Linked DNA regions of Notamacropus eugenii. The protein of the gene in region 1 binds, or shares a complex with, the protein of each later gene. Links are inferred from orthologs where the notes say so. Each region holds a gene or a part of one and is shown in the gene's direction. Other genes may lie near its edges.

What was found.
Region 2: the proteins of SLC3A1 (region 1) and SLC7A13 are in contact, whole or in part, in a cryo-EM structure (PDB 8WK6), measured with the Homo sapiens proteins. The link is inferred for Notamacropus eugenii from reciprocal best matches to the Homo sapiens genes SLC3A1 and SLC7A13. Residues at the interface, in NP_000332.2 of Homo sapiens: Pro64, Tyr65, Ala66, Gly67, Met68, Pro69, Lys70, Leu73, Phe76, Ser77, Arg81, Tyr82, Pro85, Arg86, Leu89, Phe90, Thr93, Ser96, Val97, Leu100, Ile101, Thr104, Ile107, Ile108, Ser111, Cys114, Leu115, Glu194, Asn195, Asp202; in NP_620172.2 of Homo sapiens: Ile120, Phe123, Phe124, Pro125, Ser126, Cys127, Leu132, Pro133, Cys136, Leu137, Leu139, Ala140, Met141, Trp143, Ile147, Arg151, Lys187, Thr265, Arg267, Asp281, Arg282, Glu450, Cys454, Tyr455, Gln457, Leu458, Leu459, Phe460, Asn461, Ile462.

What each region holds. Positions count from the first base shown.
Region 1 is NC_092872.1:665,480,225-665,490,542, reverse strand, and holds the start of SLC3A1 (amino acid transporter heavy chain SLC3A1), read left to right. Parts: upstream 1-6,358; 5' UTR 6,359-6,442; coding exon 6,443-6,860; intron 6,861-10,318. UniProt on the Homo sapiens protein: Acts as a chaperone that facilitates biogenesis and trafficking of functional transporter heteromers to the plasma membrane.
Region 2 is NC_092875.1:317,271,350-317,281,323, forward strand, and holds the start of SLC7A13 (solute carrier family 7 member 13), read left to right. Parts: upstream 1-6,152; 5' UTR 6,153-6,246; coding exon 6,247-6,928; intron 6,929-9,974. UniProt on the Homo sapiens protein: Associates with SLC3A1/rBAT to form a functional heterodimeric complex that transports anionic and neutral amino acids across the apical plasma membrane of renal epithelium.

The sequences.
Region 1 (10,318 bases):
TATGAGTTGATAAACGCCTATACCAGGGTGATGGCAATATCAGAGGAAAGAAGAGGGACATAAACAAGAACTGACAGACACTGGCAACATATTGATATGGGAGGTGAGAGAGTGAGGAGCTGAAGAGGACACCTAGGTTGGATGAATAGGAGGATGGTGGTAGAGGACTGGAAGGTAGATGAATCTGTCATTCCTCTAAACCATATTCCTGACAGTCAAATTTCATTCTTAAACATAACTAATAATAGGGAAATTAGGAAAAGGAAAGGGCTTTGGGAATGAGAGGAAGATGAGTTGAGTCTGGGACTTCAGTTTGACTTCAGTTTGAGTTTGATGTCCATCTAGTTCAAGTTGGAGATATTAGCATAGGCTTCCAAGGGATTATGGTCAAGAGGAAGAAGTCTGGAGAGTAAGAAGTGGAGTGAAAGGAGTTTTTTTGTCTTTTAAGGAATAACTAGATTAATCTACATGGGGAAACAATTAGGATGTTGCTCCTGCAACACTCCATCCCCTTGGTGATAAGGTCCTTAAGGTCTTCTTGAAGTCTTCTACTACTAAAATTACTTTAGGCATGTTACTGATCAACCTTTCTTCCAGTATTCATGAAGCTTGATATTTTATTGTTTAATCATTTTTCAGTAGTGTTTGATTCTTTGTGATCCCATTTGGGGTTTTCTTGGCAAAGATGTGGAAGTGGTTTTTTTCATTTCATTTCCTTCTCCAGCTCATTTTGTATAGATGAGGAATTGAGGCAAACAGGTTAAGTGACTTGGCTAGTGTCACACAGCTGGTAAGTTTCTGAGGCCAGATTTAAACTCAGGAAAATGAATGTTCCTGATTCCAGTCCAGGTACTCTACTCACTGTGTCATTCAGTCACCCAGAAGCTTCATATAGGTAACACTAAAGATGGAAAAGAAAAGCAAACACAGAAACATATCAGAAAGCAAAGAAACAAAAGCCCAAAGCCCAAAATGTAACAGTTCCTTCAAGGAATCATTCAATATGGGAGATCAAAGACCTGAAATTCCTGGCTTCACTCCCTGCCTCCTTGGAAACCAAGTCCTGGATCTAAATGATCAGGTCCACATTGTGGACAAAACCATAATTTTGTAGTTCCTCGTGGGGCTCTCAATGTAGAGCAAAGACCATAAGCAGGAGCTTCAGGCAAAGATGATACCACTTCTTGCCTAGTTACCAGGGTTCCTCGTAGGACAGCAAATTGCCCTATACCACCCATCTACTTGGTGTTCCCTGGTCCATCATCCAGCGCCTCCCCGTCCCTGAAGCCCTATGATGGGGGTAGCATTCAAAATCTTCTTCACATAAAACACTCCTCATGAACTTCCCCTTTATTCTTTGGGGGCTGGATAAATAGCGCCTTTCACTACTACTCTCCTCATTGCCAGAAAGCAAACTACCTCCCAACAATGCCACTTCTGGGGCCTCCTCCTACCGGAAGATGAATTGTACAGTGATCATTGGATGGTGTATGGTCAACATTGTAGAGGGGCCAATCAATTCCAGATTACAGTATGCCATGGGCTACAGTGGATCTGTCTTTGCTCATGTTCATTCCCAGTGCCCATTCTGCCTTGTGGGAAAGGCTGCTGGGAGCTATTTCATTGTATACAGCTGTCCTGTGTTTCTGCTTGCTGCCCCCTACCCTAACCCCAGGCAACCACCCCTGCAATCTACATCTTTGCCTGCTGTCTCTTGGCCATCATCCCTGGAGCACACATCTTTGCTCACCACCCCATTCTGCCAGGATGAACTTCACCTCTGTCCTGGGATAGGACAGCTGACACTACCAGGCCCTGAGCCCTGATGCCTTATGCTCAAGGTATTGAGCCCTGTTCTCTTGCCATCACTGGGGAATAACTCCACTCCATCATGGCAGGCATCACTCTGCTTTGCTGAGGGCCTAGGCTGCCACTGCCCTCCTGTGGTTGGTAGGAATACTGTAGGCCACACGGAGGCTACATGCTACAGGCCTAGAGTCCCTGCCCTTGGCTGGTCTACCAAAAGTAATGAAGTCAATAACTGCCACATGGAATGGATCAGGCAACTCCAAAAGATTCTGACCTATCATGTCAGGGCTTAGGTTCCCCTTCCTAAAGGTCCTTCTTTCTCAGGCAAGAAATTTCTCCTTTTTCCAGTGACTTCCAGCTGAGGGACCCCTTGACATCTTTCCTTGACTTTCCATCTTGACCATTCAGGATATCCCAGTCATAATGGTGCCCTCAGGAATAAGAATGTCCAGCTCAGGAAAATAAAGGAAAAAAAAAAGACACAAACCCAGAGATATTCCTCTGGGCCAGTACCTGTTCTCTTATCTGTCATGTGTAAGTAGTAACCATTTCTGCCAGGATGGGGCCAGGTACCTGGGCCTTGAGCTTTGCCAGGGCCCCTCCTAGAATTCTCCAGAGAGAATTATAGGTCATAGCTCAAGAGTGACAGTGTATCTTTTAAAAACTGACAGAGCTGTCTTAGCAGATTAGCCGGGATACACTGTGGACCCACTTTTCCACATCCCCAATTTCAGAAATGTCTCTGGGTTCCTTGACAGAATTAAGCATGAACTTTCACATGCCTCCCCCGTTGACTTGCACCAAAGAATTACAAAGAAGTCTGTGTTACAATTCTGGGTGGTCTCTCTAATGTCAACGAAACAACAATGATAAAAGACAAAATGAAAAACCTCAAAACTCCCTGTGGTGTATTGTTAGACAATCCTAAAGTCTTCCTGAGATGGATTTTTCTGTCATTGTTGGGGTACCTCAGCCACCCCTCAACTGAGGACTGCTTGTTCAGCTGCATTACCCTGGCCAAAAATCCATTAAAAACCTAATAATTCTTGCCTTATTTGCCCACAAATATGACTCCCTTAAAGCCGGAAAGGACTTTTTTATAGTAGACCTCCAAGACCATTAGTGATACAAAGGCATCCAAGCTCCAGCAAAGGGAGTTCACACTGCATTCTTTAGTAGGGAAGTGTCCCCACAATATTAGCTGAGCTTAAAACTTCACTCAAAGTTTTGGGACACCGTGTTTGTCCTTTTCTAGTGAGGAAAAAATCATTCTCTATTCCATTTAGTTAAGTTGAATTCAATTTAGTGAGGGGATTTCCTTAGAACTCAGTTTACATTCAAAACATCCCTTTGTCGGACCTTGGAGGACGCTTAAATTGCCAAGCTGGAAGGCCCAGGGACAACACAGATGATGGGTCTAAAAGACAGCTTACTACAATTGTCTTTAATGAGGAAGAGTTCTTAAGGACATAGAGAATATTCACATCTGTCATGTACTCTTCTACTGGGTGGCCTCCTGGCTGTTTCACCAACAATACAATCTAGCTCTTGGCTCTGGGTATTTTCTCTGACTGTCCCCCATGCCTGGGCTTCTCCCTCCTCAACTCCATTTCCTAGTTTCCTTTAAGTCTCAACTAAAAGTGTGTGTGCGTGTGTGTGTGCATGTGTGGTGTTTGCACGTCTTCTCCCCCATTACATTGTGAGCTCTCTAGGGCCAAGGATTGTCTTTTGCCTCTTTTTATATCCCCAGGGCTTAGCACAATGTCTGATACATAGTAGGTGCTTAATAAATGTTTGGGGGCAGTTATGTAGGTGTAGTAGATAGAGTGCTGGAATTGGAGTCAGGGAGACTCATTTTCCTGAGTTCAGATCTGGCTTCAGACACTAGCTGTGTGACCCTGGCCAAGTCACTGAAACCTATTTCCTCATCAGTAAATTGAGCTGGAGAAGAAAATGGCAAACCACTCCATTATCTTTGTCAAGAAAACCCCAAATGGAGTCACAAAGAATCAGATAAGACTGACCAATAAGATCAAGGTTTCCCATAAAGGTGATTTTGCACTTGAGATAAGAGAGTAAACTGCCTTCCTATCAGACCTGTACAGTCCCAATGACTCATAGGCAGCTGGGGGCACAGTGGATAGAACACTGGGCTTAGAATCAGGAAGATTCATCTTTATGGATTCAAATCTGATCTCAGACACTTCCTAGCTGTGTGACCCTAGATAAGTTACTTAACCCTATTTGCCTCACTTTCCTTATCTGTAAAATGAGCTGGAGAAAGAAATGGCAAACCACTCCAGTATCTTTGCCAAGAAACCTCAAAATGGAATCATGGAGAGTAGGACAGGACTGAACATCATCATCAACAGCCATCTAAAACCTCATCATCCATCATCATCCATTCATTAGAACCTGCCCCTTCCTGAGAGCCTCATGGTGGGGTAATGGGATATAAAATCTTCTCCACATGAGAGGGCTCTAAGGGACTGCCCCCTTCTTCTGTGGGGGCTGGGTAGATACTTTCAGTACCCCTTTGCTGCTAGAACCCTCCTGGGGAAGGACTCCTGTTTAGAGATCACTGGGTGTTATTGTACTGGCAGTAATGTTGAGTTTATGTGTGTGTGTGTGTGTGTGTGTGTGTGTGTGTGTGTGTGTGTGTGTGTGTGTGTGTGTGCGCGCGCGCACCTGCGCGTATAGTCAGGTGCTGGACTTACTCTCCCAACCCACTTTTAATACACATGTTGATATGTCTAACATAAAATGGTGAACCTGAGTGTGATATGGATAGATATCATATCAGGGATCTAGAAAGCCCCTTCCATATCTCTTTGTGGATAGTAGGAGGGCCTATACTTGTCCTTTAAAGGTAGCCTAGAGGGTAGGAGCAGCACATGGGACCACTGAGCAATCTTTTCTTCCTGTTCCTATTTCTAAGGGGGTGGGGGTGGGGTATTGGGCTAGAATTATACTTCTCTGTGTTTAACTTAGGAATAAGTTTGAGGCTTTTTGTTTACCCTCCACCTGGTTTAGCCCATCTCTTGAGACAGTTTTAGTAGGGTATGGCCACTGCACTTGCTACAGATTCTTGGAGCCAAAGGTGAGAGTAGGGTGAAGATGAACAGCAAAGGTTGATGAGTAGTCCTGAGAAAGGCTGGGCAGCAGGCCCTCCCTCTAATCCTCCCTGATCACCCCATACACCCTACACAAACAGCAAAGCTTATCTAGCACACATCAGCTATGTCTAGGGGTGTGTCCTCCTTTGAGGGACTTTCTGTGTTCTTAAGAAGAGGGTAACCCTTATCTTCCTCTCATTAGCATATGTCCCTGTCACCAACTGGTGGTTACACAAAAGACAACAGAATAGCTTTTTAGCAAAGTAAATTATGAACAGAAATGGGGGAGTTTATAGATATTAGGTTACATCAGAGTAAACTAGCTCTTTGATTTGGAATTAAGATAGAATCTCAGCTCATCCAAGGCAAAAACAACCTCACCCAGGAAGTCCACTCTTTGTAATCTCTAGTGTTGTACAAATTACAGATCAAGGGACTTGGTGGGGGCTGGCTTCCCCGGCCGCCCGTCTGCCTGTCTGTGGCTAAAGGGAGATTTCCTGTCTGCTAGTCAAGTTTGCCCTCTCTTCTCCCCTGTTCTCTCTGGAACTCTCCACTTCTCTCAGTAGTCCCTCCAAAGATTAAGAAGTTTTTCCTTCACTTATGCATCTAAATAGTATGAAGGGCTTTGCAATCTCTCAGCCACTTAGGATCCACATTTTCTCTCTCCATTCTCCTTTCCCCCCACATCCCCAGGCAAGGAGAGCCACTCACTGTCCCTCTGGGATCTGCCAAAGCTGCCTCAGGTGGGGTTGGTGCAACAATTTTCTCCAGTCAACGTAATTATGTATTTAAAGCCAGGGGACAAAGGAGATAAAAACTGGTTAATTGCTTATTTTATTGTTTCTACTCCAAATTTTATTCTTTCCTTTAAGAAAAAAAAGCTTAATGTTATCTAGGTAAGTAAGTCATGTCTTTGTTAATGCTTTTAAATAAATGACATACACAATAAGTCATCATTTACAAAAAAGCATGCCATTTTAGATATTTAATTTAGATATAAAATACATCCTTTTTAGTTTACATAAAGGCAGAAACATCAGCATTTTCTACTTACCAATGTTTAAACAGCTCTTTAGTGTAAACATTAAAAGCTATTTACAAAATGCTGCTCTCATGGAAAGTAGGAAGCAATTCATATTACACAGACATAGGAGGGAGTGGTTGTATACATGTACACACCTGTACATATACACACGACACAAATATACAATATGGAACAAAAAGGGCCAAATAATGCATATTTGGTGCATTTATCTCTCTTCTTTTCCTTAAAGCTTAATGCTTTAATTCCTCCCACCCCCACCTTAGACTTACTCGGAAAGTAGAGTCTTTTCTTTCTTTTTTTGAAATCCCTTTTACCTTTACCCTTTCTTTTTCTCTTGTTGAATTTTAACCAGCCAGGTTTATTTATAAACCATACCAAGCTAAATACACCACCAAGCATTTCAGTTAAGCAAGACATTTTTTTGCCTTTGTTTACTGCAAGAAAGCTCCCTCAAAGGAGAAGCAGGAAAAAGATGGCCAAGGATGGAAGTAAGAAAGATTCCATGAGAATGAGTATGAAGGGTCACACCAACAATGGATTTGTGCAAAATGAGGCAGTCACCGAACGAGAAATTGACGGAAGCAACCAGGTCGATTCACTGAAGACAAGTAGTAGTGACATCCATCCCCAAGAGCTCGACCCTATCAAGCCCTATGCAGGGATGCCCAAAGAAGTCCTGCTTCTGTACTCAAGCCAAGCACGGTACAAAATCACCCGAGAGATCCTCTTCTGGCTCATCATTGTAGCTGTGCTTGTGCTCATCAGTTCAACTATTGCAATTATTGCCCTGTCTCCAAAGTGTCTTGAGTGGTGGCAAGTCAGTCCTATATACCAGATCTACCCACGTTCTTTTAAGGACAGCAACCAAGATGGCAATGGTGATCTGAAAGGTTAGTGCCCATAAAGGTTTGTTAGAGCTAATGAAGAAAGTAAAGGTGTAATTTGGTTTTTGTTCTCTCTATATCTCTGGAAGTTTATTATGCCTATGACTGCAAGGGATGGTCAAGATTCTTATTCCTTATAATGGAAAAACTCTCACTAAGCAAGCTTGTCTATTTAACAATACAGGAGTTCATTTGGTTATTGAAAAAGATTACTTGATGGAGACCCTTTGAAAGCCTTTGAGTCAAGGGCAAATAAAAGAATGCTTAGAAGTGTGTCATGAGTACTGGTAGATGTAACTGTTCATTTTTATTGGTTTAATTTGGCATCTCATAACTTCTTATATCTCTTCAGTTTACAGCTAAATGTCATACAATAATCTTTTAACAAGGTTATTCAAATATATGATATGGCTGCTCCTGGCTTACTAACCCTGTCTATCCACCCCTTCCCGCAAACACAGATTTCCTTCAGTAGAACACCCATCAGTAAAAGGAAGCCGAAACTTCCCAGCTTCTCTGCTATGATCTGAAAAAGGTTGATATCATCAGAAAGTGATTTATTACATGTTAATGTTTAGCTTGTTATCTTGATATCATTGATATCATGTGAAGTAGAGAGTTGGAAAATAAAGGGTCTAATTGCAGCCTGGCTAGTACAGAGCCCTGGATTTGGACTCTAGAGATCCTGGCTCCTCTTTTTATAATCTATGACCTTGGGCAAGTTGACTTATACCTCTGTGCCTCAATTTCCTCATCTATACAGTAAGAAAACGGTTCAGTTGGATGGCTTCAAAGGTCCTTTTCAACCTTAGATCTCTAATATCCTAAGTCCTCAAGGCACCTTACCTTACTTGAAGTCCCACCCTAGGCCAAAGGCTACTGAAACAATTGCCAGTGGGGTTATCTGGAGGATCCTCCCTTAACCACACCTTTAGGAATTCATTACCAAAACAGTGAATTACCTTATCTCTAGGGAACAAGAAAGAAATGGGGAGGGGGAAATTTTTCTTTCTAGGGTGGTAAATAAAAAAGCACTAGTTTTATGTGGAAAAACTGGTGAAAGTATGATTTTTAAATATTAAAAACAAAACTTTTACTTTATCCTTACATAATTACATGTGCTGGGGCAGAATGAATGTCAGGCCCTTTGCTGGTTTGTCCAAAGGCCATACAAAGTAGAGCTCCAAAGCCAATAACCAAGAGACAGTGACATCTTAAGAAAAGCCTCTGGGTGGAACACATTAAGAAGGGATTTCTGAACATCAACATATCAAGCATATCGGTTAATTTCGTAAAAGCAGTGAATCCATAGGCTGATTCAGTGGTAGCCCCTAAAATAAAGTGCTGCTGCTTTTTGTGGAAGCCAGGCACAGAAATTCTCCACGGTAGCATTATACCCCAAGTAGCATGTTTTGGAATCAGAGTACCGAAGAGGAGAATGAAGCTTCTCGTCCCAAGGAATTTATTGAATGGCTGTAGATACAGCAATGGGAAAAATAAACACTTATGTGAAAGATTCTTTGGTTTAGGGGACAGCGAATGAACCAATAGAAATATTCTTTGATTTCTTTTAAAAACAGAATTATGATTGGGTATAGGGGTCGGAAGAAGGCAATGCTTTTGCTCCAGAAATATGATTTCATTAGTGATTAGAACTCCAAGTGTGAAAACTCCTTCAACAGACACATATATAACACATCTGTAATGTACGTAGCCTGAGGAAGCTGGTGGCATAGAGGACAGAGCAGTAGGCATAGAGTCAAGAAGACCTGAGTCCAAATTAGATTTCAGATACTTGCTAGCTCTGTTACCCTCCACAAGTCACTTTACCTTGGTTGACCTCAGTTTTCTCAATTGTAAAATAGGGATAATAATAGAATCTACCTCACAAGGTTGCTATGAGAAACAAACCTGGCATACAGTAGGCACTTAATCAATGCTTATTCCCTCTTCTTCCCCTGTTCTTCCCCTTAGGGAGTTGCCTGGGGCCCTGAGAAGTTAAGTCCCTTGTGCAGGGTCATACAGCCTGAGATCAGAAGACCCCAGGTCTTCCTTACTTTGAGGTCTGCTTGATATCCAGTAAATAGTGGTTATGACATATCAAATATATTAACAGCTTTTTAATTAAAATTTGTTGACCATGATGGGTTTCTCACCCATTTGCCCCTTATTTCTGATATTTTTGTAAGGTATGGAAGGTTCAAAGATTATTATCCTTATTTAACACTAAAGAATTAATGAATCTAATTCATTCTAGTAAACATTTTCAAAGCTCTTAGTCCTATGAGCCCAGCATAAAGACAATGTATTATATATATTAGAGGTTCACAGAGGACAGAAGGAATCTAATTAATGGCAGTTCAGAGCCTTCAAGAATCAGATCTATAGTTAAGAGCCAGCATATATATATAGCACTTCACAAATATTACCTCATTTTATCCTCACGACAATCCTGGGAGACAGCCACTATTATTACCCCCATTTTACAGATGGGGCAACTGAGGCAGATAGAAGTTTAAGTGACTTGTCCAAGGTCATACATTTAGTTAGTGTCTGAGGCTAGCCTTAAAAGTAGATTTTCCTCCCTCTAGGCCCAGAGTTCTATCTGCTCCTCCTCTAACTCTCCTCAGGAGAATTAGGAGGAAGAAGAGTACTAAGCCCTAAAGGGATCAGGAGAAGTTTCTATTCTAGAACAAAAGGATCTGTGAACTGAGACTTGGAGGAAGCTAAACATTCAAAGGGTCAGAGGGGAGGAGGGAGTCCATTCCAAGTACAGGGGAGATGGCACGCGAAGCATGAAATGCTGAGGTCAGGGACCTGCAAGTTGGCCAGCCAGCTTGTAAGGTGGAGTGCTTTCAGTCAAGAAGCATTTATTAAAGTGCCTGCTTTGCACTAGGCACAGGGGATACAGAGGCAAAAAGGAACCAAACAGTTCCTGGCCACCTGGGAGTTTACATTCTATAGGTAAAGCCGGCACATATATCTATAAAAAGATATCAGTCATATACAAAATAAATAGAAGGGACTGCAGGGGGGAGGATGGGGATGAGGGGAGGGATGGATTTCTTGGGAGATCAGGAGAGGTCTCCTGTAGGTGGTAGAGCTTGAGATGAGAACTGAAGGTAACCAGGGACCCAAGGGGAGCAAGGAGTGCATTCTGGTCTATACAAAAGCACAGAGACAAGAGAAGGAGTGTCATGGGGGAGGAATAGCCAATGGGCCCATGTGGCCCATGTGTGAAGGGGAGGAACATGTAGTATTTCTGGAAAGGCAGAGAGGAGCCAGATTATGAAAAACCAAAGTTCATGTTTTATTCTAGAGGCAATGGGGAGTCACTGAAACTTCTTGAGCAGGACAATGACATGGTCAGACCTTTAGGAACTTCACTTTGGGAATTATGTGGAGGAGGATTTGGGGGTACAAAGAAGATGTGAATGAGTTAGAGACTCAACCAGGGGCTTCTT
Region 2 (9,974 bases), on another chromosome or scaffold:
TTTCAAGAGTTATAAATATTGTCTTTCCATGTAGGAATGTAAACAGTTCAACTTTAGTAAGTCCCTTATGACTTCTCTTTGCTGTTCGCCTTTTCATGGTTCTCTTCATTCTTGTGTTAGAAAGTCAAATTTTCTTTCCAGCTCTGGTCTTTTCATCAGGAAAATTTGAAAGTCTTCTATTTCATTGAAAGACCATTTTTTCTCCTGAAGTATTATACTCAGTTTTGCTGGGTAGGTGATTCTTGGCTTCAGTCCTAGTTCCTTTGACTTCTGGAATATCCTATTCCATTCCCTTCTATCCCTCAATGTAGAGGGTGCCAGATCTTGTGCTATCCTGATTGTATTTCCACAATACTTGAATTGTTTCTTTCTAGCTGCTTGCAATATTTTCTCTTTCACCTGGGAATTCTGGAATTTGGCCACAATGCTCATAGGAGTTTCTCTTTTTGGATCTCTTTCATGCGGTGTTCTGCGGATTCCTTGAATATTTATTTTGCCTTCTGGTTCTAGAATCTCAGGGCAGTTTTCCTTGATAATTTCATGGAAGATGATGTCTAGGCTCTTCTTTTGATCATGGTTTTCAGGTAGTCCCAGAATTTTTACATTGTCTCTCCTGATTCTATTTTCCAGGTCAGTTGTTTTTCCAATAAGATATTTCACGTTATCTTCCATTTTTCGAATCTGCGCGGTATGTTCTGAGATATCTGTCTTTCTGATAAAGTCCTTAGCGTCCATCGTACCATTCCAGTTTTGAAAGATCTATTTTCCTCAGTGAGCTTTTGAATCTCCTTTTCCATTTGGTTAATTCTGCTTTTGAAAGCATTCTTCTCCTCATTGGCCCCTTGCACCTCCCTTGCCAGCTGAGTTAGGCTAGTTCTCAAGGTGCCAATTTCTTCAAGATTTTTTTGGTTCTCCTTTAGCAGGGAGCTGATCTGCTTTTCATGCTTCTCCCTCATCCCTCTCATTTCCCTTCCCAGTCTTTCCTCCACCTCTCTAACTTGATTTTCAAAATTCCTCTTGAGCTCTTCCATGGCCCGAGCCCATTGGGTGGGCTGGGACACAGAATCCTCGATTTCTGTGTCTTTGCCTGATGGCAAGCATTGTTCCTCCCCATCAGAAAGGAAGGGAGGAAGTGTCTTTTCTCCGCTAAAGTACCCTTCAATAGTTTTATTTCTTTTCCCTTTTCTTGGCATTCTCTCCATCCAGTGGCCTGACCTCTGAATGTTCTCCTCACACCCACCTCGCCTCCTGGTCCTCCCAGCCAGCGTTTGGGGACTGAGATTCAAATGCTGCTTCCCACCTTAGGGTTTTTGGCGGGGGCAGGGCTGCTATTCAGTGTTAAATTAAGTTCAGGTGCTGAGGTCATGGGCAGGGCCGCCTCTCTGGCTCAGTTCCCTCAGGGGGTTTATGCACAGACCTTCCACAATGGATCCAGGCTCCCGCCCATTTGGGGAGCCCCTGTCTGCAGCCGCCTCTCAGCTTCTATCTCCTGGGGGGGCCCGAGCCATGGGGGCACCCCACTCCCCTCTCAACCCGCCAAAGAGACTCTCTCACCTACCCCCGTCAGTCTCCTGTTGATGGGGGGGCTTGTGCCGCTGCTGAAGATTCCGTCTCTGGAGCCTTCTCAGATCTGTGCCTCTCGGAGCCGCGGCCGCAGCCGCCACCGCCGCAGGTCCGGGCTGGGCTCCGCGTCTGCAGCACGATGGACCTTTTGTGAGAGGTTTGCAGGTCCCTCTGTGGGTGGGGGGACCCGCGTGGCCACTGGATATCCCATCCCCGTAGCCCTCTCGGATCTTTTCCTCTCGGTGGCGTGGCCGCGGCAGGGCTGTACTCTGCTCCCCGTCCCGGCACCCAGTCCACGGCGCGAAGGACCCCCCGCGAGAGGTTTGCAGGTCTCTCTGGAGCAGAAATCTCCCTCGCTCCAATAGTCCGTGGTCTCTGGGTGCAGAATTCGCCCTGGCTTGGTCCCCTCTAGCCGTTCTGTGGTTTGTGGGTTCGGAGCTATGTGTATGTGCGTCTTTCTATTTCGCCATCTTGGCTCCGCCCCCTTCCTATTTTAATTTTTAAGAACAAAATGTTAAGAACAGAAGATGTTGTAACATATGGGAGACATCATAAGAACTCTAGGCTTTGTATCATTTCTGTCCTCTGATCTGAGAGAAATATAGTCTCTCCTAAAGTACTTTTTCCATTTGCATATTTCTGAGAAGTTGTTTTATCCTTCTAGGAGTCAACATAATATAGGATTACAAGGTCAGTTAAATCCCTTCTCTCTGCTGAAGTCTTAATGAGCCTAAGAAAGTTGCCACCAGATAAGATCCTTTCCTTACGTTTCTTCTAATAATTCCCTGTCTTCTTATTTTTGATATGATGGTCCACAAAAGTCCTACTACAATTCTTTAGCGTGGCATGGAGATGATATTGGGTTATCAAAGGCTAACCCAGTGCAAATTCTGGAAGTTTCTGTCATGCCAAAAAGCTTAGAGTACAATGATGGATGAGTACTGCTTTTTAAAGGCATCCTAGTCAAGTGCCGAATGGCCCATCAACAGTAAACCCACTTAGTGACTAAAGACTTGGCCATAGCAACCAATGAAACAAAGACAAACACAAAGTGGCTTTAAGTCTTGTGCAGTGGCAATGGCAGTATGGCAAAAAAGGGTTCAGAAGTGCTTAAAAAAAAATCACATGGTTTTTTGAACCATGTGATTCTTAGTTGAGAGAGTGAAAAGATGCCCTAATATAGAATTAGAAAACTTGGATTTATATCCTGGTTCTGCCCCTTAATGCCCTGTGACCTTGGGCAAATTTCTTTACCTCTCTGAACATCTTTTCCCTAGCCTGTAAAATGAGAGACCTCTAATGGTCCTTCCATTAATGGTCCTTTCAAATACATGATCCTATGATGGTATTTTAAGTGTATGATTCTTGTGCAATCATTGGTGAATTGACATAGTATTGGAGGAATTTGTCAACCAGCTCAGAACTAGTCTCTAACCTGTGGGTGGCCAGAGCTGAACAAAGCAGGCAGAAAAACAAGAGTCAGAAATCAAACAGAAGTTTAATTTCAAAGTGAGGAAAACGTTTACAAGTAGAAGTCCTCCTGAGGAGGGTTTGTGGTTTGTGGCAGGGGTGGAGTTTTTAAGCATGAAAATCACAAAAAGGCAGGATCCAATACAGCCATTCATAGGTCTTGAGTAAACAGTTCCCACAGATGACAATAGAGGTGTTCCATGGGAACAGTCTGTAAGTTATTAGAATCATTTAGCCTTGTGATTGTCTCAAGTCTTAAGGGTCATTGAACCTTGTAGTTGTTCAGCAGGGTACAGAATCAGAGTTAGTGTGGCAGGAAGAGGAATGCAGTACCTGGTTCAGTTCACTTAGCAGTTACAGGCTCAGGGATTCTTTAGAGTGTCAGAAGATTTGAATGATTACTTTCTGCTACAGCATGTGAGCTGTAACACCAGCTCTCAGGACAGAATCCTCTGGCAAATAGAGATTAATATGAAAATAATAAATCCCAATTCTGGGATTTTGCTGTGGCTGAGATAATCTAAAGGGTGAGAGCAAAGGATTGTTGTTATGTTAAGTTCAGGGAACGGCTTGTTTGTTGGGCCTTAGCTCTGGAAAACAATATCTTGACAAAATGAATTATATCAATATTGACATTCTAATTATAACTGAAATTTCAGAAAGGAAGTTGAAACTAAATGAAATGTTGGTTTGTAGATTCTTGGAGGAACAGATAGAAGAATTTGCAGAGTTGGTTTACAAGTAACAAAAAGAATTATTTCACGATAATGAGAAACCTGAACATGATATGTGAATCATTGCAGTAACGGAGAATTACAAACTGGTCTATGTGTTGCCTTTCCTAAACCTGTAGGATGATAGTATGTTACTGTGTTATTATCCAGCAAGTGAGCATAATTATTCATTAAGTGAATTTGTCACAGGGTACCCTTCTTGATCCATATTGATCCATACTTACCTCAGTTCCTCTATGGCACTATAGCCTTTTTAATAGACTACAGTATCCCCACTGGTCAACAGAGCACATTTAGTTTACAGACATCTTGTTGCTAGTTTCCAATACTGGCAACATTCATCTGTTTAAACCCATCCTGATTGAGTTCAAATGTTAGCTAGGGGATGATATGGATTATTATTCCAAATATAAAAAATATAAAATATAAAGCTCTAGAACCCCCTACCTCATAACTGAACTTTTTCCATATGATAAAAACCCCTGAAAACCCCATTTTCAGGACCTGTACTCCATACACTATGACTGAGTGGTTTACTGAAATCTTATTTTAATCTCTACAGCACCTCTTGCATTTATTGCTTTATCTACACTCACACTGCCACCACCTTAATTGATTCTGGCCTTCTTGCCTGAACTAACACAATTGTCTCTTTTTTGGTCATCCTGCTCAAGTTTCTTCCCACTCCAATCCATCTTCCACTCAACTGCCAAATTGATTTTCCTGAAGTGGAAATAGAAGTATGTCACTAAAGACTCTCTATTATCTCTAGGCTCAAATATAAACTCTGTTTGACGTTTAATGCCTGAAACAATCTGTCTCTAACTTTTCTGGCTTTACTCCAGTTGCTCCTTCTATAATCCAGCCAAATTGACATTCTTGCTGTTTCTCACACATGGCATTCCATCCTGATGCCTTTGCATTGGCTATCCTTGGTACTTGGAATGCACTTCCTCCTCAATTTCATTTCTCAGTCCCTAGTTTTCTTCAAGACTCACTCAAGCCATACCTTCCACATGAGGCCTTTTCTGATCCCCATCCACCAGCTTTTAGGACCTCTCCCCCTAAGTTATCTTGAATCCATTTCTTACCTATTTTGAAAATATCCATGTCCTATATATACCTATTATCCCCCAAACTAAACTGTAAGTGCCTTGAAGCAGGGAATCTTTGTTTTTGTCATTGTATATATAGAGACTATTCCAGAATAGTCACTGGCAGATTAAGCATATAAAAAGTGGAAGGGAAATGGTTAAGTTCTCCCAAGCCTTCCACTCCAGCCATCTCTAAAGACCTCCTTCTGCATGCCTTCCTCATTCTTTGGGTGTGATCTGTGTACCTCCAGATCAGGGATTTGGACTAAGAGGACCCTAGCTCTAGGTCACAAATTATGCTGAGGAAAATCAAGGGGGGAGTAGCAAAAGAAAACAGTTTTCTCCTATTTGATCACCAGTCAACTGAATCCTCAACAGTTAACCATCTGCTGCATTGAGGACCTTCTGTCTCATTTCTGCACCACTATCTGGGCTGCCTCTCATGTCAGACTCATGTCTGATAACTCCTTATTCACAAAAAATTAAGTACACAACTCAGAGAAGTTATGGTAAATCAAATCTGTGTGTAAGCAGCACTATTATTAAATAAACTTTAAAGAACAGAATAAATTTAAATTTACATATGCTCTCTCAGAGAGTGAGAGGAGAGGGACTCATTGCCTCAAAGATCTAGAACTGTAAGGGATTTCTGAGGCCATCTGGTCCATTGTACATTTAGCAAAAGAGGAAAGAAGCCTGAGAAGGTTAAGTAATTTGCCCAAGGTAATAACTATGAGAGGTAGGATTTGAACCAAACTCCTCTAACTCTATTGTTGTTGTTCAGTTGTTTCAGTTGTGTCTGACTCTTTGTGATTTTGGGGTTTTCTTAGCAAAGATACTAGAATGATTTGCCATTTCCTTCTCCAACTTATTTTACAGATGAGGAAACTGAGGCAAACAGGGTTAAATGACTTGCCCAGGGTCACAAAGCTAGTAAATGTTTGAGGTGCAAATCATAGCTGGCCAAGGAACTATCCTAATCCAATAGCTAACCATGGAATATCTAAAAACGCTGAACCACCATGCATTTAGTTCTTTCTTAATTCTTGTTTAGTGTTAAACATTAAAAATGCTGCACCACCAATGGAAAATCTACAAATTCCTTGACAAGTAATGCAAGTTTTAATGTCTAATGGATAAAACATGTTAACTAGGAATTTAAACATATCACAAATTTCATAGGTAAACTGTTTCATGTTAATCATTTTTAAGTCATGAAGTAGTATAATAAAATGAAACTCATGTAGTATACAGTGACTAAATCAAAAGGATCTAATGGTTTCACTACTGGGAGTTTTTTGGGACAGATTTCAAAAGCATAGCAAGGAGTATACAAAAGAGTGATTGCAGAAGAAACTTTAAAAGGCCTTCTCTGGACTGAAGAAATGGACAAAATGAACAAGACACAGCTCCAAAGGGCAATTGGATATTTCCACGGGGTGACTTTCTTACTCAGTAGTGTAATAGGTGCAGGAATTTTCATAGCTCCCAAAGGAGTGCTGAAATATTCCTCCCTCCATGTGGGTGTCACACTGAGTATCTGGGCTGCTTGTGCAGCGGTGTCCATGATAACAGCCCTTACTTATGCTGAGGTGGGCACAACTTTCCCTCGAAGTGGAGCTCAATACTATTTCCTCAAAAGATCCCTGGGATCTCCTTTTGTTTTCTTCTGCTTCTGGACCAGTTTCTTTACAACACCAGCAGGACTTGCTAGTCGAACCTTATTGTTGGCTGAGTATGTTATTCAGCCTTTCTATCCTGGGTGTTCTGCACCAACATTGCCCAAAAAATGCTTAGCTTTGGCCATTTTGTGGTCTCTGGGAATCCTCGGTGTTCAAGGTGTGAAAAAAGTAACTTGGTTTCAGACAGTCAGTACAATGATGAAGACAACAGTTCTTTGCCTTATTGCCTTAAACGGAGTTATATTGTTGGTAATGAGAAAGGAGAATTTGATCAGGTTGGGGAATGCTTTCAGTTCTGACCTTCCAAATATCTCTCAGATTCCAGAAGCCTTTTTCCAAGGATTTTATGCATATTCAGGCTGGCAATCAATGGTTTCCATTGCAGGTAATTTTTTTTTTTTAAATCTTAAGGGAAACATTTATCAGATGAATACATAGTCAAGCTACTAAAATAAGAGTTTTATGCTGAAAAATAAATTTTGTCTTGCTTATAGGTTTGTATATTTTTATCTGACTTTAGAGAGGGAATTCTTAACCTTTTTGTACCATAGACCCCTTTGGCAATCTGGTGATACCTATGGATCTCTTCTCAGGATCATATTTTAAAGGCAAAAAATAAATGACCTAAGATTACAAAGGAAACTGATTATATTGAAATACAGTAATCAAAAAATAAGTTCACTGACCCCTGGTGTGGGTTCTGCTTTATAGAGTATACATGTGAAACATCATAGCTAATGTGCAAAAATATTTGTTGCTTGATTCCTTGCTTTTTGGTCTAGGTTTGGGAAATTAAAGATTTTCCTAACATATACTAATACTCGGGGTATTCATGGGTAGAATTCTAGACCAGAAAAGACCAGAAATTAGAAATAAGAAAGACCAGAATTTAAACATAGTCTTAGATGTTTATCAGCTGGGTGACCTCAGGCAAGTCATTTAACCTCCATTTCCTTCAGTTTTCTTAAGTACAAAATTGGGTTAATTATAGCATCTACATTCCAGGCTTATTGTGAGGATCAATGAGACATTATTTGCAAAGCATATCTGTGCTTGGCATATAGTAGATGCTATATAAATGCTGGCTGATAATAAAAATAATTTGTTAACCACATACACATCTGCTCAGCAGGTATATTCACTGGTAAACAGTTGGGTAATATGAAAGGCAGTGTGGCATAATGGAGAATGCTAGACTTGAAGTCTGCAGAAATATAGGTCTTAAAATAGCCTCTGATATTTACTAGGTAAGAATAGGGACAAACCACTTAATCTCAGTTTCCTTCTCTATAAAATGAGGATAATAATACCTATAGTCCCTACCTCTCAGGAATGTGAGGGACTCAGTTTCTTCATCTGTAAAACATGAGAAGTTGACTTAAATGATCTTTATGGGCCCTTCTAGGTTTATGTTCAGTTCTATATCCCAGGCATATATCCCAAGCAAGTCAATGGCATAATTAAAGGTCCAATATATACCAAAATATTCAAAGTAACACTCTGTGACAGGAAACAAACAAACAAATAAATAACAAAACATGAAAATGATATAGCTGCCCAACATCTGAAGAATGGCTAGAAAAATTGTGTTACATGAATATAATAAAATTTTGTTGTGTACTAAGAAATATCAAATACAACAACTCTGAGGAATAGGAAGATTTCAATAAACTGATACAAAGTGAAGCAAGTAGAACCAGAATAATGACTATAACAAGATACATTAAAAGACCACTAAAGGAAGCCAAATGATGAAAAGTCACTGAAGGACCTAAAGAACAGATAATAAAATATAACTCATTTAGCATGGCAGAGAAGTGGGTGACTACTAGAACAGAAGACACTGGCAGATGTCACTCGCACAGTATATTTTGTTTTGGCTTAATTGTTTTTTTTATTGTTGTAATAAGGAAGGTTTTAATCTAGAGAGCACAGACTTACTATATCCCCCAACAACTATAAAGACATGTAAAGACAAAAGACATCAAGAAAAGATTTTAAAATAAATACATCTTTTGCCCCAATATGATTTTAATGCTAATATCACATAAATGTGGCTTTATATATAATCTGTAATGATCCATGGCTGAGCCAGCAATATGGAAAAAGTTAGACTACTGTAGCTCTTCTAACTACCTTCACCAAACAGTCATCCATCACCTTTGGGGGAGAGGGAGATGGGGAGCTAAAGTGGGGAGAGAGGTTGGAACATAAGGATAAGAGCAGTGCTCAAGAATATTTTCCATCCATTTAAAGGTGCAGAAGAGATTCAAAACTACAGACAGGGTCCTGGGTTTTTCTCAACCTAAAGTACCCACAATATAATAGAAATGGGTAAATGATATTAAATAAAAGTGACAAAGAATTAAGATGATTATTTGCCATCTGTAAACCATCCATTTTCCTCTCTGTTTTTATGTTAGAATATTCATAGTAATAATTATGCTCTCTGTATAAAAGGGAGGGATGGTGTATTTTCTAGAATTATTGCCCAACTAAAGACATTTAATTTTATTAAATAACATATACAACACAACATATAAAAACATGCTGTAAGACCAGCCAAAATTTGAATAAAGACATATGAAATGAAGAATAAAGTAACTGCAATGTGTTAGTATTATTTTAAACTGCCAAATATGAGTAAAAATCCAAATTAAAAGTGACAAAGCAAAAAAAATCAGCTATAATCATTACATAATTCATTTAAATTATTATTTCTTTCTTCCAAGACAAAGCATTTTTTCTCACTTCATTTTATTTTTTATCAGTATATGACATTTACAAATTTATAATAGTCATTAGGAAAAGATACTAGAACACACACTCATTATATGGCTTCATCACACTCATAAGACACTCACAAATCAAATCCTAAAGTGAAGAGATCCCTAGCACCAAAGTAATGAAAAGTGTGTCTAGAGGGAAGATGGGCAGGAAAAGCTGATGGGGGCAGAAAGAATGACAAAATGCCCTGATTTTTCATCATTGCATTTTGATTTGATGTATTACTTATAGATACAGCTAAATGTTCATACAACTTGGAGGACTTTGGTTAGAATCCCAGTTTGGCTAACTGATGCTATACATGACCTTGAGCAATCTGTTTACCTATCTGGACCTACGTTTCCTCATATATAAAATTAGGAGTTTGAACTATTGCACCTTCCAGTTCTAACTTGAAATGAGAAGCAGCTAGATGGCTATTGCAGTGGACTTGGAGTCGGGAAGACATGAGTTCAAATCCTGCCTCAGATATTTATTAGTGATGTGACTATGGACAAGTCCATTCATCACTATCTGCCTCAATTTCTTCATCTGTAAAATGGGGACAATAATAGCACCAACCTCACAGGTTATTGTAAGAATGAAATGAAAAGTAATAATAACATGCAAAGTGTTTTGTAAAGTTTAAGACACTCTCTTGATGT